2 linked regions of the Rhinolophus ferrumequinum genome follow. The protein of the gene in region 2 purifies or fractionates together with the protein of the main gene of each other region. This does not show direct contact. Links are inferred from orthologs where the notes say so. Each region holds a gene or a part of one and is shown on either strand. Other genes may lie near its edges.

Region 1 (7,938 bases), on a different chromosome or scaffold from region 2:
TACTTTCTGGGTGGGTCCATGGAGAGGTCAATGATATTTCCAAAGGGAGAGAAGGCCCCACGGAGGAGGGTGGGCGTCATGTCTTCTCCATACACATAGAGAGTGTTCCCCTTCCGAGGGGCCCGGCGTTCAGGGAATGAGTCTGACCCTATGGGATCATAAGATGTAGTCTGTCTCACCCTCCACTTTAAGAGTCCACGTTCGTAGGAGCCATCTAAATCCTATCTGTGGTCACTTTCCACACCAGCCAATCTCACTCACTGCGGAAAGGGCCCTCCCGATCTCGGTCCCGGTCCCTGTCTCGATCCCGGTCCCGCTCCCGGTCTTGATCTCTGTCCCGTTCCCGATCTCTGTCTCGATCCCGTTCCCGATCTCGGTCTCTGTCCCGGTTCCGCTCACGACTGCGGTCCCGGCTGCGGCTTCGGGGAGGGGAGACTGAGGAGCGGGTGCCACCACGTTCTTCATAGCTCCAGTCAAAGCTTCGAGGGGGGCCGTCAGCAGCCCCTTGGCCCTCTGCTTCATCCCCATCTGGCCCCAGTTCCCGAAGCCGATCACTGGAAGACACAAAGCTAGGGGGAGGCAGGCAGCGCGGATCAAAGGGGGCCTTTGGTAGTCTTCCCAGACCCTGAGGAGACTGACCCCCGCCTCCCTGTGCAGCCCCAGCTCCTGCCACTCCAGCCCCAGACCGCCCCAGGATCCAGGCAATCACCCCCCACACCAACCACCTAGTGGGACCCAGTCCTATCTCCAACCTGCTAACCTCTCATACAGAGATTTCCTTTGAGGACGTCTGGACGACTGAAAAAGAGACCCAGTTTCAGTTCAGCTGATTCCTGGTTGCTGGCATGTAGGTCGCTCCTCTTCCCCAATCCCAGGCCCTCAGGGACAAAGAACGGGGCCCATTACCTCTTGCAGATCATCGTCAGCAGATATGCTTCTCTGGAACGGCTGGAAAGTGGGGACTGGCCCCTTCGCAGGATCCTGGGAAGGTGGTAGAGACCTGCCTCAGTGTGGGGCAGGAGGCTGCCTGACCGCGGGTCAGAGGGCGTTCCTTTTCCCTCACCCTCTCCTCAGCTTCCTCTGTTCTACCGTTTTGTCTTTTTTTCTTTTAATTCCTTTGCACTTCTCTTATCTGACTGTGTGGGATTTTTAAATAAGTGACCCTAATAAACCCTTCAAGTATTTAGTTTACCTAAACACTTCTTGAACCTGACGCCATTTCAGCCTGTTCAGCTCCTTAGAGCACAATCTAAGAGCTCGCACACGCACAACAGAGCCGCAGAATGTGTAAAATGGAGAATTTAGGAGTCACCCATTTTCTTCATTTTTCAGATAAGCAACCTGAAGCTCAGAATGGTAGCGCATTTTGCCCGTGATTGACAGGTATCACTTTTTCCCTAAACCACCTCCATTGCTCTTGGAGGGATGCCTTCCGAAGTCAGGGGTCCCCTGAACTATCTTTCTGCTTGTGCTTACCTTTAACTTCCCCTCTAGGGTTCGAGAGCGTTTGAAGCCCGAGTTCTTGGTCTCGGCCTTGATGGCACTGATGGCTCCTGACTTCACCAGCTGCTTTGCCTGCTCTGTTGCCGTGGCTGTGTCCACCACAGGCTGCTCTGACAGTGCTGCAGTGGTGAGGGAAAGAGGCATGACGTCAGCCAGGCTGCGAGAGGTCAGCCCCGTGCTCCCTACTCGCAGCCTATCCCCGTTTCCCTGTCACTCACAGCGTTTGACACCACCCTGGCTGGCTGTGCTGCTGCTGCTTTGCTTCTTCAGAGCCAGCAATGCCTTTTTCTGGGAATGAGAAGAGAGGAGTTGGTGAGGGCCAGTCTCTGACCAGGTCCTCTCCTAAGGCCCCTGGGTGCGTCACTCCAGGGGACACCTTTCTCAGAGAAAACAGTGCAAATGGTGCCCCTGGAGTAGTTCACTAAAGCAGCCCTGCCTCTTACACACGGGCCCGGTTCACGCACAGCGCCACCGATACTTAAGGTATCCAAACCATGGTATCCCAGAGCATCACATTTTTGAAGTAGAAAACAAGAAAGTCAATGATGGACGAGAGCCCCAGGTTATGAGCTGCAAGTAAATAAACGCCTACATGCTTTCTGGAGTGCATCCATCCATACCCTGTTTGTTTAATAAGAACTTGCCATTCATTACTTTGTATGGGGAGGAGACGCACTTCCTCCCCAAGTTTACAATCTGAGAAACAAAGTGGCTAGACTGAATTATCAAGAATGATTATAAGACGTGCAGACTGCTTGCAGCTGAGAGTAAGATTTTCTGAAGCCAAATGGTTATTAAACTGGACCCTAGGTAGCATCTGCATAATAGAAACTGAAGAAAAAAGGCATTTTAGACAAAGAAAACTGTGGCAAAAATACAGAGATAAGAAGCTTTGGGGATGCATGTCTTGGGACTAGTGAATAGTTCTAGTTTACTAAAAAGGGATGCCACAAGTTAAGGTTTTGTTCTACAGACAATGTGAAACCACTTAAGGGTTTTGAGAAAAAGAGGGACAAAGTCTTATGTTTTCAATGGATTGTTTTAATAGGAGTGAAGAAGTCTGTTAAAAATAAACAAACACTAAAAACTTGTCGAGAGACCATTACAACGGTCTAGATGAGTGTCAGCAAAGACCTAGATCTATGGAATACATAATACAGGAAAAAATAAATAGAAGTTACTTCCAAGGAAGAATTCAGAAGACTTGGCAAACGTTTGGCGAAGCAAACAGCGAATCAGAGATGAGATTTTGATTCTAAACACATGGGAGAACTGAATGTGATCACGCCTTATTTGGAAGAGCAAGAAAAGGAACTAGATTAGTATAAACAGGAAGATAATAGCTTTAATTTTGGATATCTGAAGGTTATCAGTAAGACATCAGATGGAACTGGAAAAACACCAAACGTGGAATCACCAGCTTTTAGGTGGTACTAAAAGCCACAGGAAAGGAAGACAACTCCATGGCAGAGTGAATAGAAAAGAGAGAAGGTACACAGACTTGGGAAAAGCCCACCTCTGAGGCTACACTGAGAGGTGCCAGTGTGCCGGTGTGAGCCAGAAGAACCCTCCATCCCTCACACTCACCCCAGGTGGTCTCAGAGGGTAGAGTCTGTGAAAGGTTGGGCGATGCCCACACACACTCCCTCACCTTTTTCTTCAGTTTGTTGAATTTCTTCTGCAGAGCCTCCTCCTCCTCGCTCAGTCCGGGGGGTATCACCAACATGGTGGCTCCTGGTTCAGGGGCAGGGCCCAAGGCATCTTTCTCCACTGTCACCGCCCGGGGTTCACACGCCGTCCACTCCCCCGACCCCCCCCTTCAGGCCTGCCTACTCCTGTGTGTTGGCTCTCCCTACCCCCTGCTTAAGCCAGGATGCCGTCCGAGCCCCCTCGTCGGGGTCAACCAGCATTCCGTCCTCGCTAGGAATCACAGACACCAGCGCCTTGGGGCCCCCCGTGGCCCGAGGAGAAATACCCCCTCTGTCGCCAAGACGATGGCACAAGACCCCCCCTCTCCCCACTGGAGTTGTTCGTATGGCAACCGGGGGTTCAGAACCGCAGAGGAGGCACTGGAACCCGCGCAGCGCTCTCAGAGCAACGAAAAGGGGAAAAAGAGAGAAAGAGCTCGGAAGAAAGGGGCGAAGGGTGAGAAGGAGAAAGCCTTACCTGAGGGGGCGGCAACCGGGACCCGCGCTCTCGGGCAGCGCCCGCGCGGGCAGCGGATCGCCGGCTCAGAGCGATGACGTATCGAGGGGCGGAGAACGCGGTAACCAAGGCGGCCCGAGGCGCAGTCACTTCCGCCCGACCTTCCACCAATTCAGGGCAGCCCCTCCGTAGCACTCGTGCACACCCCCAGCGGGGTGTGTACCGGAAGTCGCCTCCACTTCCGCCCGTTTCGGGGCGGAGCTTATCACACAGCTCCCCGCTGCGCTTTTGGGCTGCCTGGCCCCTACCGTGGCTCCTAGATGCTGGAGACAGAGCGACTCGGTGAGGGGGAGGGGGTGGAACGAAGAAATAGACAGAGATTGGCCTTGACCTCTGACCTCTGACCTTTCTCCTGTAGTACTACCTCCCCTAGAGCCCCTGGACCTGCCCCTTCGGGCTGTGGAGCTGGGATGCACTGGGCGCTGGGAGCTGCTGAATGTGCCTGGGGCTCCAGAGAGCACCGTGAGTGACTTTTGACCCTAACCTTTGACCCGCATTGAGCTTAAAACCTCTTCCTTACAGTAGGGTCTAGTATGACCAGCTCTTCTCTCCCTGGATACCTGTCCTCGGGGCCTGGACTGGTGCCGGACAGACTCCAGCCTAGTGGGCCTGCTGTGGGTCAGAGCCCATGTGAGGATCAGCCTGCAGCGCTGGGGTACCTTAGCTCTGAGAACTGCTCTTTCAAAGGTTGCAGTCCCTTTCTGTCTCCAAGCACTTGTCGGTGGCTGAGATGCTAGCCTTTGGAGATAAAGGCTCTTCATCTTTAGGTCTGGGATCTCTTTTCCTAAAGCTAGTGATTCTCGAATTTCAGTATGCCTCATGATTAGTGGGGGAGCTTTTTAAAAATACATATTCCTAGGTCCAGCCCCAGATTCTGAAGTACAAAATCTGTATTATTAACCAGCGCCTCAGGTAATTCAGCAGCAGGCCGTTTGTCCTGTAAAAAATGACAACCTTTGGAAAATCTTCCTTCACCTTAATTGTCCTAGTCTGTCTGAGACATCTACCATTTCTGATCTCAACACAAGTCCCATCACTTTCTCTCATCTTGTCCTTGTTCCAGCTTCCCCACGGCCTCCCCCCCTGTGCCCCGGATCTGCAGCAAGAAGCAGAGCAGTTGTTTCTGTCATCTCCAGCCTGGCTGCCTCTGCATGGTGTGGATCACCCAGCCCGGTGAGGGGTCTGGAGGGGACTGGACTAGTGAGATGGGTCTCTAAAAGAAGCTGAGACAGAGGAGAAAGAAGACCTGAAAATTACTTCCTTCTCATCAGAAAATGGCAGAGGAAGATGGATCCTTGGTCTCTCCTGGCTGTACTGGGGGCCCCAGTTCCCTCCGATCTACAAGCCCAGAGACACCCAACCACAGGCCAGATACTGGGCTACAAGGAGGTAAGTGATCAGGGGCCATGAGAAGCAGAGTTGGGAAAAGGCGGGTCAGAGGCAGGCTCAACCTCACTGAGGCTCTGATCTCTTGCCTCAGGTCCTGCTGGAGAATACAGACCTGACGGCCACGACCTCCTTGTCTCTTCGCCGGCCACCAGGGCCCGTTTCCCAGTCCCTATGGGGGAATCCAACACAGTACCCTTTCTGGCCAGGTGACTCTTGTGGAAATGAGATGGTTGGGGAGGGAGCCCTCAGTCTCCAAGGAAGGGTTCCCGTATCACCCCTCATGAATCTTTATTTGTCCAACCTCTCCCCAGGTGGAATGGACGAGCCCACCATAACAGATCTGAGCACTCGGGAAGAAGCTGAGGAGGAGATAGACTTTGAGAAAGGTGAGGTGGTGCCAGGATGGACCCTTGGGCGGCAGGGCTTCAAGTCTGGACCTTGCAGATGAGGGGACCAGGCCTATCACTGGGCTGCTTCATGCCTTTGAGCAAATTAGGAAAAGGCACCCTTTCCATAACAACCTTCTTTGTCATTTATTGGAAAGTGGTTACAACAAATGTTCCCAGTTACAACGTTTGTGCTGTGAATGACATCCTTTAGGTTTATGCAATGTACAATTTGTATAACGGTGTGCAGTGGCCCCATTCTCTCTCTGTCCCGGTCCTCCAGAGCTTCTTACCGTTCCACCTGGCTTCAAGAAAGGCGTGGACTTTGCACCAAAGGTGAGTTTTGAGGTGGGGGCATGGAGAAGTGGTGCCCTTATCTTACAGGACAGAGATGGACCTGACCAGGTCCCCTTTTTTTGCCTTTCTCCTCAGATCACTCAGCTCCAGCTCGTGGTTTGCTCAGCCTCAGCCGTCTGCTGGAACCCCTGGATTTGGGTGGGGGAAATGAGGATGGGAGGGAGGCAGTGGGACAGCCGGGAGGTACCAGAGGGGACACTGCTCCAGCCTCTCCCTGCAGTGCTCCCTTGGCCCGAACAAGCAGCTTGGAGGACCTAGTGTTGAAGGTTGGTGCTTCTGGGTGGTCGAGGCAGGAAAGAAGCAGCCTTGCCGCTGGGAGGGTGGACTGGCTTGGTTGGGTCTAAGGGGAAGATTGGAGCGTCTTTTGGGAGGAGTAGTAATGGAAAGTTTTCTGGCTATAACTTCATCATTCCTACCCCCGACTTTTTCAGGAAGCGACCACAGCTATATTGCCCACCGAGCTCCCCAAAGCCCTACCTCAGGAGCAGTGGGCTATTCCTGTGGATGTCACCTCCCCTGTTGGTGATTTCTATCGCCTCATCCCCCAGCCAGCCTTCCAGGTAGTGTGGCCCCGTCCTCACATGCTCCTCCACCTCCTCCCAGCCTCTCCCACCACAGGCCAGAAGCCTTCCCGCCCAGTCTTGGACCTCAGGCCCAGCCTTGCCTCACTCTGGCCTTCTCCCTACTGCCCTGCGTGCCCCATGAGCCAGAGGCAGGAAGGCCCCTCTCCGCTCTTCATTCTCCATGTATTTCTTTGTCCCACAGTGGGCATTTGAGCCCGATGTGTTCCAGAAACAGGCCATCCTGCACTTGGAACGGCACGACTCAGTCTTTGTGGCAGCTCACACGTCTGCGGGGAAGACAGTTGTGGCTGAATATGCCATTGCCCTCGCCCAGAAACACATGACACGGTACGGGTCCCCTCCCCTACCTTCCCCCTTCACCAGCCATTCCTGTTTCCCCTGCCTCTTTTCTAAATCTCATCTCTTCCCCATATCTTTTCTTCATCTTTTAGATGGGAGGTTTTGGGGAGAAACTAAGACGGGGGCCCAGAGAGAAATGAGAAGGTGCCGGGAGAGAGGTTAGAAGGCTGATCTACGTGCGTTTAGTTTAGGAAGAGGTTGAGAGTCAAAAGTTTTCTGGGATCACGTCATGCAGGAGAGTAAGGGCAGATTGGGTGAAGAAAGGGGGCCGCTGAGCCTGCAGTATGCTGCTGGGAGGGCTCAGGGTGGACAGGCGCTGCTGAGCACATGTCGTGTGGAGAGACGCGCTAACCTCACGCCCTCTTCCCAGCACCATCTACACTTCGCCCATCAAGGCTCTGAGTAACCAGAAGTTCCGAGACTTCCGAAACACATTTGGGGATGTGGGGCTGCTCACCGGGGACATACAGCTGCACCCGGAGGCCTCCTGCCTCATCATGACGACAGAGATCCTTCGGTGAGAGATGGGCATTCAGCACAGGTGGATGTGGGGCCAGGAAGCTGAGGCTGCTCTGGAGAGAGTGGCTGAGTTAAGAGTGGAGACGGGAGCTACTGGGGAGTCAGCCTTCGGTCTCTTCTCCCCAGCTCCATGCTGTACAGCGGCTCGGATGTCATCCGGGACCTGGAGTGGGTCATCTTTGATGAGGTTCACTACATCAACGACGCTGAGGTAAGCGCCGCGGGGCTCATGTGGGCCTGGTCCTTTCCTGTGGGACTGGTTCAGCAGCTCCCTATTCCCCCCTGAGCTGCCCGTGACTCGTTTTCCCTCCCTGTGCCCAGCGCGGGGTCGTGTGGGAGGAGGTGCTCATCATGCTCCCTGACCACGTCTCCATCATCCTTCTGAGTGCCACTGTCCCCAACGCCCTTGAATTTGCTGACTGGATTGGGTGAGGCGTGTGTCCTGGGGTGCTTGGGTGAAGGCCGCTGTAGTAGTGCTTGGTTGGGGTAGGGGGCCAAGACTGCCACAGCCTTGGGGGTGGGAGAAGAGGGTGGGGCTGGGGAACACGGCCCACTTGGGCCCAGACTACTTTGCATGTTTAGAGATACGATGACGGGGACAGCCTTCCAATCCGGCTTCCAGAAAAGGCTGGGTGAGGCCCGAGGGGGAAGGTGGT
Region 2 (8,521 bases):
TTGGTGAAAAATGTTCTAAAATTGACTAAGATGACAGCTGCACAACTCTGAATATATTAAAAACCAATTCAACTGTACATACTGAATGGGTGAATTCTGTGATGTGTGAGTTGTCTCAATAGAACTGTTACAAAAAACTCATTCATGATTAAAATAGTTTTTTTTTTTAATCTAGGAACAGAAGGGAATTTCCTTAACCAGTAAAAAATATCTGCCAAAAATAATAGGAAACATACTTATTGGCAAATATTCAAAGTTCTTCCAGTGTTGCTGTCACACAGCAACCTAGCCGACTGTCGCCCCATGTCTTTCCTTGAGGAAAGACGGGTCTGTGAGACTGTGCCTTTCTGGGACTTTGTTTTATCTTGATGTTTTACACCTCATGTCTCTCTGTCTGGTCCCCAAAAGATGGTTTGCAGCCAATGATGAGTAAGATTCCCCATGGGGGGGCAACTTAAGCCAAGCAGAACCATGTGGGGACCCCCAATGAGCTAGCTGCCTTGGAAGATCTGGGAAGGGGCCTTGCTTGCCTCCCCTTCCCGCTGCCTAGAAAAAGCCACTGCTGACTCCGGCTTTCCCCTCTCACCTGATTGTGAGAGCGATACAATCAGCTCTCCCCTCTAACCCTACAATTAAGTGTCAGCATGAGAGACCTGTCCCTAAGGAGGACATACCACCATTGTTAAGACACCATGGGACTTTCTGTTTCGGCTGTTTACAGGCAAGCGTGATTGGTTTGAATCATTTTTCTGGTATGATGTATGAGATTCACAGACTGTGGAAAAGACAATGCTACTTCCTTGTATGATAATCAATAAAAGCCACCAGTCAGCTCGATTCTGGGCTCCAGTCTTTCAGAACTGTGAGACCCCTGGCCTTCTGAGATTTAACTGCATTAAGTCTCTGTTTCTTTCTTCCTTAAAACTTAACCCAACGCCACCCCTTCTCGTCCCCTTACAGCCTGTGTTGCGCTGGACGCGACAGTGTGGCCAGAAACAATGTACTGGAGTGTCCTGGTGAATGCAATAAGGCAAATGAATGAATGAATGAATGAATGAATGAATGAATGAATAGCAATTGGAAAGAGAAATAAAATAAGAGTTAAGTGCACAGAAAAATGAAGATTCTACAGGAACATTATTGCAATTAGTAAGACTAGCACAGATGCTATTCACAAACTCATCTAAAAATAAAATTTTAACGGATATTTATATCAGCACGAGAAAACATGAAATATCTAACAGAAACTGGAAGGCGTCTGCTGAGAAAATCATGCAGCTTTACAACAAATATTAACATTAAAGACGATCTAGGAGCTTGTAATGCGGGAGCGGTGTTCTCTGGCAGCCAAGTCCGGCAGGGGCAAAGCCAAAGCAGGGCCTGGGGCTGCTCGGAGCACGAGGAGCCTGCTGGGCCTGGTCCCTCCTCTCTCAGGAGCACACCCCTGCCAAGGTCAAGACTGTTCACGTATTTTTGAAATAACAAGAACCCAACTGTTTCTGGATGCTCACGGAGGTGTCCAAGAGAGGACTCAATCCGGAGCAGCAGTGACCAGGTTGTCTCCACGCTAAAACAAACGAAACGCAAACCCAAATATTAAAGATGTAAGTTGAGATATGCCTATATTAATAATTCATGAGAGTCAATATTATTAAGACGATTTAACCCCAGAATGAACTATAAATGCAACTCAGTCTTAATCAAACCCCAAGTTGTACGTGGGCGTACGTGTAACCTGAGAAGTGAAGGTAACACACACGGAAGTGCAAAGGGCCAAGAAGAGCCACAGACCCTGAAGAATAAAGTGGGCGGGTCTGCGCCGTTAGCTATCAAGACTTACTGAGCTAGAAAGTGGCACAAAGAGGCTTAGTGTCATTAATACGTAGCCTACAGGAACAGAGGAGAGCCCAGAAACAAACCCACAGCCTAAGTGACAGCGCAGATCAGCAGGCTGCCCCTGGGGCCAGGTGGGCAAGGCTTCCGAGGCGCCTGCGTGCGCTTTGGGTGGCTTTGCGGGACCCCCGCCTGAACTGAACAAACTGGCACTTGTGCGTGCGTTCGCGCTCACAATAAAACAGGCACAAACCTAACATGCAATCGTAAGGGACCGAACAGGAGTGGGGGAAACGTCCAACAACTACGGGGTTCACTGCACGAAGAACCCGCAACACGCCGTTCCCGGACAGGCAGTGTCACCCGCATCAGGATGCTGCAGAAACGGGCGTGCGGCGAAGCCCGGGAGTACCGAGGGACCTAAGTGTGTGGCCACTCTGTGGGCTAAAAATAACAACACGCGGTCCACAGTCACTGGAAAGTTCTCCGCAGGCCATCGCGGCCAGCTCTGCCCTCTGCGCGGCTTTCAGGGACCCAGGGAAACCCGGACAGACTCGCACCCCCACATCAGGGCACTAACCTCCGCGCCCTCCCGCAAACACGCACAGGCACGCACCGCCACCGGCGCTAACAGGTGGTGCCCTAACAGGTGCCCGATGGCGGCTCGGGGTTCGCATCCATCCCCGCTGCCCTGCTCCCCAAACTCCCCTGCAGGCCGAAGGGCTCCGCTTTTCCTCACCCAGAATAAGGGGGCCTGTGAGGGTGACGGTCGGGGGAGGGGCAATGAGGGTGGGGGAAGGGGTGTGCCGTGAGGGGAGCCGCTGGAAAGTTCTACCGGGAGCGCGGAAAACCCAGTGCGGCCTGAGAAGGGGGGCTGTGAGGGTGGGGGGCGTGAAAGTGGGGGGCTGTGAGGGTGGGGGGGCTGAGGGTGGGGGGCGTGAAAGTGGGAGGCTAAGGGTGGGGTGTGTGAAAGTGGGGGGGCTAAAGGTGGGGGGCGTGAAAATGGGGGGCTGTGAGAGTGGGGGGGCTGAGGGGGACTGTGAGGGTCGGGGGAGGGGGTGCTGTGACAGGGGGGCTGGGGGGACAGTAAGGGCCGGGGTCTCGGGTCTAAGGAGCACGGCCGCGAGGTGGAAGGCAGGCCCTGCGCCCCCAACGCCGCCCGCCTCACCTCGTCCACCGTGCGGCGCGGGAGGTGCAGCGTCCCAAGCAACAGCTTGAGCTTTACGGCCGACGAGAGGCTGTGGAAGCAGAGGCGGATGTTGTCGATGACCGCGGCCGTGAGCAGGGACGCGATGCTGGGCGGCGCCCACAGCTCGTCTGTGGCCCCCAGCTTGTTGTGCAGCCACAGGCCCGTGTCGCTCTCCCGCATGGACGCCATCTTGGGGGGGGAAAGCCGGGCGCCGCCGCCGTGCCGGCATCTTATGAAGACACCTACGCGCCCATGGCGAGGACCCCCAACATGGCGGCGCCCGCCCGAGCAGGCTGCGGTGACGTCACAGGCGGGGCGGGGCCTCGGCGAGACGCTTCGTGGTGACGCCCGCGAAGGCCTGCCGGCCGCCCTTGAGTAACATGGCGGCGCCCACGACCGGCTCTCTGAAACAGCCGCGGAGGGTGACGTCAAGAGAGACGGAGATGTCGCGCCGGTGTGGCGTGTGGGCGCGGCGGCTCTGGGCCGAGGCTCTCGACTGTTCCCGCCATGGATCCCAGGGCTTGAGCAGCGCGGGCATCCGGCTCAGGCCTCCCCACGCCTCCCGAGGGAGGGGTCCAGGTCAGACAGACATTTAGGAGCGCCTTTGTCAAAGAGAGCCAGGTCCAGCTTTCATTCATTCCTTCAGCAGTCCAGACGGGCTGAGCACCTACTGTGTGCCTGGCACTATGCTGCGCTCATGAAAGGGACGGAGAATTTCCCTGGGAGTTTATTTGAGCCAAATCTGAGGGCCGGCTAGAAGCAAAATCTCAAAGGACTGAGAAAATGCTCACGGAAGAGCAATTTTGCAGTTCTTTGTATGCATTTAGAATGGAAGGAGAGAAGGTAGGCACGTGGAATCCACAGGTGGCAGGTTAGGAGGCGGAGAAAGCCAGGCGGGCAGTTTCTGGGACTGGATAAAAAGTAAGACGGAGAGACACCGCTTTACACGGGTGGGTGCAGGGCAATTAACACTAAACATTTTGTACAGAGCATGACTTAGGGACACAAAACGGAATCTAGTCATTCTGATAGCTATGTCAGTCACAGAGTGACCGTCATGCCAGGGCGTCACGTGAAAACGTGGAGTGTGACCACCTGGACGATGCTTCCTGGGACTGCAGGAGGGGGCACCGCCCCCCGTCTCGAGCATAAAAGATCAGAGCTCACTGACGGCTCCTCGCTCAGGCCTCAGCCGACCAGCTGACAGCAGCACCTGCACTCGTCCCAGAGGCGGCGCTTGAAGCCTCGCCTCCTGACCGTGTCACCAGCCCACCTGCCGCCCGACACTCCGCAGCCCAGCACCGGAGGACTCTCGCTGGACACCGGACTCTCTCATCCTTCTTTCCTAGACTCTGTTCGCCTCGCCTCACCCTGTTACTTGCAAACCCGTGTGACCCTCCTGTGTGAAACCGCCCTCCCTCGCTATTGGAGGCTGTCCCCGACCAGAGCCTCGGTTAACGCCCGTGGGAAACCAAGTCAGCAGGGCTAGATCCACGCTTTATTCTAATAAAGTCTGACGTTGTGGAAAGACACCAACGTGTGTGAAACGGCTACCGTCACAGCCACGTCCCACTCACGACACATTTACAGCACAGACAGATGGTATGCGGGGGGCAAGGTAACAGGACTGCCGTGCTCTTGCTCTGGTGCCAGCAGTTGTGCCTCTGAGGTGTCTGTAAAAGAGAATTACTCTGACATTTCAAAGGTACGTTATCCTTGATGAGCCCAAGGTAAAGACCAACCTTTGCTAAGGAAGCTGTAGTCCTGGCACGTGACTACCCACTATGACCTGCCCAGTTAGGGATTTATGATCTGACCGTGTATGGTTACTGTTGGTCACTGAGCTTGTCAGGCCTGCCACGTAGCCTGTTGTACGTTCACATCTGGGTGCTGGGGGTACAATAGTGAGACCCAGACCTTTGCCTTCGTGGGTCCCGTGACCCAGGGGAGTGGGCAGTCTACAGAGGTGAAGGTGGTGTGGACAGAAGAGCTGGGCAGGTGTACAGGGAGTGATGGGAGTGCAGTTTTATGCAAATTATGTCTAAAAGGACTGGGGCAAGCTTTCTCAAGCCTGGCCAGTCTCTCTGGTCCCTAGTACCCCTGTGATTGCCATTTGCCAGGCAGCTGTCCCAAGAAAGGGCAAGTGGCTATGCCTGCAGCTGCTCCACGTCCTCAGGGTCAGCTGCAGGTGGCCTTCCAGGTCTGACATCTGCACCTGCCAGGTTTGGGCCTGCGTTTTCCAGATGCCCAAAGGGGGATCAGTGGTCAGGTACCTTTTGAAAGGGAATCAGCCCTGCCTTGGGGGCAATGGGGTGCTTACCACCCGCAGCCCTGAGTTAGTCTTGTGCATAATCAGTGAAGGCACAAAATCAGGGCTTTAACCAAAAGCTGAGTGCCCCTCCGTCTGGAGGGGGGCCCTGTCCTGCCCTGGCCAGCCCCTTCCCACCAGGCCAGCTTCTTCACCTGCCTCCAGTGGTCTCTGTCACAGGGCTCACAGGCGCCGGTGGGCCTCTAGTGGGCCAGGACAACAAACTGGAGGGACTCCCTAGTGCGGTCACAAACTGAGATGAGTGGGGACTTGTTTACCGTGGCACAGCCAGGGCCACATCTCTGAGGAGGTGACACTGCAGCTCAGGGTGAGAGAGGCTGCAGGCAGTGAGTGGCCTGCACACGGAGCACCTCGGGCTCAGGAGGTCTCCCCACCACATCCCTTCCCTGCGCCCCTCCCCTATCACAACCTGGACCTCACCTCCCGAAACAATGCTTGTGCCCACATTTTCCGTCTGACCTCCCCCTGCCCTTCTTGCCCATAGGCTCTAGCCTTCTACTTCATCGAGAACATTTGGGGAACGGGGTTGGGGGCACCTACTGCCTTGCCCTTCTTTCTGTACCTGGGCCGTGGAGAGATCAGCAGTTAGACCCCTCAGACCAGGGTCCTCATTGGTTGGGATGAGGCCCACCTCTGGTTTTATTTCATTGGAGTCTATTTTTCTTCCTTCCACCATCAGTCCCAAAGCTCTCCTGTCCTCAGACATCTCACCCCTACTCTAGTGTGTTTGGAATATGTCTTTGACAAACGTAAAGAGTTCTTATGTGTGTTTGTGTCTTCAGTGGACAGAGATGGGATTGTACCGAGTCTCGTGTCCACCACATTTTCGTCTCCATTCCCCTAGGATTAAACCTTCACATCGCGTCCACTTGCCCACCTTACAGACAATCTATGATGAGGACGCTTGTACGAGTCCCCCAAGGACTATGGGTAAGGGTTTGGGAGGTACAGGCCCAGAGAGGGGTATTGGCCAAATGGCACCCCTGTAATGTCATAGAGGGCTGCCAAGGGGGGCTGCACGTCCCCTCCCAGTTGTGTGCTAGAGCCAGCTTGTACAGGCTTGCAAGAACTATTGTTAATTTTCAGGAATTTTCTAAGCCTGTCATTCAAAACAGCCATTATCAAAAATTAAACTTTATTGTATTCATTTTATTTCTTTACCTTTTACAAGGCATTTTACTTCATCTCACTCTTGCCCATACTCTAGATGTTATTTACGTCCAGTGTAACTGAACGGGGGAAATGCTGTACATTTTGTTATAACGCTGATGAGAAAAAAATGCATCCGCAGCCTGGGCCACGGTCTCTGTGGAGTGTGCACCTTCTCCCCTCATCTTCTCTGGTCCTCCCGTTTCCTCCCGCGTCCCAAAGATGTGCTCATGAGGTGAATGGTGTGTCTACATTGTCCCAGTGTGAGCAAGTGGGCGTGGGTGCACCATGTGATGGCAGGGCCTCCTGTCCGGGGCGGGACCCCCCTTGTGCCCTGAGCTGCCGGGACAGACTCTGGCCACCTGTGACCCTGAACTGGAATAAGCGGGTTGGAAAATCACGACCTTCCTTGTTTTTATTAATTGTTCTTAAATGTATGTGGAGCTCACATTTACTTCAGTGTTTAATATTAGAAGTGTTTTGGGTGTTTATTTGGAAGTTTGGCGATGTGTTTGTGACTAGAAATATGCCGTAGGAACTTAGCTCTGGTTTATACAAATTAGCCGAGGGTAAAACTGGTTTCCTTATACGTCGTTTCGCTTCAAGTCGCAGTTTCCAAGAACCTACCGATGATGTTAGGTGAGGACTGCCGGTAGCCCAGCTGGAGTGCTGCCCAACTCCTCCCAACTCTATGTTCACTGAGGTTGCACGGGCAGCTCGGACTCAGCCATGGTGGGCGTGTTTACACCCCGGGAACGGGCAAGAGCTACACATCAGGGCAGGACTGACTGGTTGATTGTCCAGGCTTAAGAAAGTGATGGAGAAAATGCTAACAATGAAGAAAGCATGTTGTGTCTGTTGTCATTACATTGTGAAGAGCTCACACACACACACACACACTTGAAGCAATGTTTCTTCCAGTATTCAAGCACTATTACCTGATTCAGCAAAAGAAGTCCCTCATGGCACTGACTAACAGGTAAGGTTCTGGAGTAAGTGATGCTAAAGCTAAAAGAAGTTTAAGTTAAATAACTAAGTTTTTGAGGTGGAGAAATAGTTTTGCAGGTGATTAAACATCAAATTTAGTGACAATGCACTTACCGGGGAAGAGCCGATTGGAATAAAACCCCGTATATCAAACAACGCTTGAACTGTAACCATTGCTTGACTGAGATGAAAATCTTTGTTAACTGGATGCAAATGTTCATAGCAGCTTTATTCATATTCATAATGGCCAAAAATTTGAAACAATCCAAATTGCGTTGACCCCATTTGTGGCTTTCTGTGGAATATTCAGTGCTTGGTGTATATGTCCTCAGTCTCATGTCCTTGAAATCAATTGTGAGTCATCAGGAAGAATTCTGCTTAACCACTGGGTTAACAAAGAGAAGACAGACCACTAGAAGGAGGCATTTGCAATATCAAAAACCATCAAAAAGCACCAGTGGATTAACATTTAGAATGTAAAAAGAAATGCCTGTAAATTGGTGAGAAAAAGACAGGCAATCCAATAGAGAACTGGGCAAACGATAAGAAAAGGCAGTTAATAGGAGGGGAACCAGATCCCTGAGACTTAACAAAGAGATGCTTAACTTATCACTAAAACCTGAAAAATCCAAATTAAAATAACATGATGCCTCATTACATCTATTTATTACATTGCGAAATTAGAAAGTCAAAATTTTTGTTTTTAGATATGGATATCTAATTGTCCCAACACTATTTGTTGAAAAGACTGTTCTTTCTCAAATGAACTGCCTTTGAACCTTTGTTAAAAATCTGTTGTCCATGTATGTATGGGTCTATTTCTGGACTGTTTTCTATCCTGATTTATTTTCACTATCTAGCTGTACACTAATACCACACTGTCTTGGTTACTGTAGCTTTATAATAAGTCTTGAAGTCAGGTAGTGTTAGTTCTCCAACTTTGTTCTTTTGCAAAGTTATTTTGGCTATTTTTGGTCTTTCACATTTCTATATACATTGTAGAATCACTTGTCAATTTCTAGAAAAAAAATTTT

The links. The genes of interacting proteins can lie anywhere in the genome.
Region 1: the proteins of NELFA (region 2) and NELFE purify together in Homo sapiens (affinity purification with mass spectrometry; 9 studies listed by BioGRID and IntAct, counting the BioPlex papers as one, with this or other methods). This does not show direct contact. The link is inferred for Rhinolophus ferrumequinum from reciprocal best matches to the Homo sapiens genes NELFA and NELFE.

The regions. Positions count from the first base shown.
Region 1 is NC_046286.1:2,408,008-2,415,945, forward strand, and holds the start of NELFE (negative elongation factor E), read right to left. Parts: upstream 3,805-7,938; 5' UTR 3,670-3,804; intron 3,238-3,669; 5' UTR 3,230-3,237; coding exon 3,155-3,229; intron 1,792-3,154; coding exon 1,722-1,791; intron 1,623-1,721; coding exon 1,477-1,622; intron 982-1,476; coding exon 907-981; intron 799-906; coding exon 761-798; intron 570-760; coding exon 262-569; intron 149-261; coding exon 4-148; intron 1-3. UniProt on the Homo sapiens protein: Essential component of the NELF complex, a complex that negatively regulates the elongation of transcription by RNA polymerase II.
Region 2 is NC_046288.1:87,030,539-87,039,059, reverse strand, and holds the start of NELFA (negative elongation factor A), read right to left. Parts: upstream 3,266-8,521; 5' UTR 3,212-3,265; coding exon 3,002-3,211; intron 1-3,001. UniProt on the Homo sapiens protein: Essential component of the NELF complex, a complex that negatively regulates the elongation of transcription by RNA polymerase II.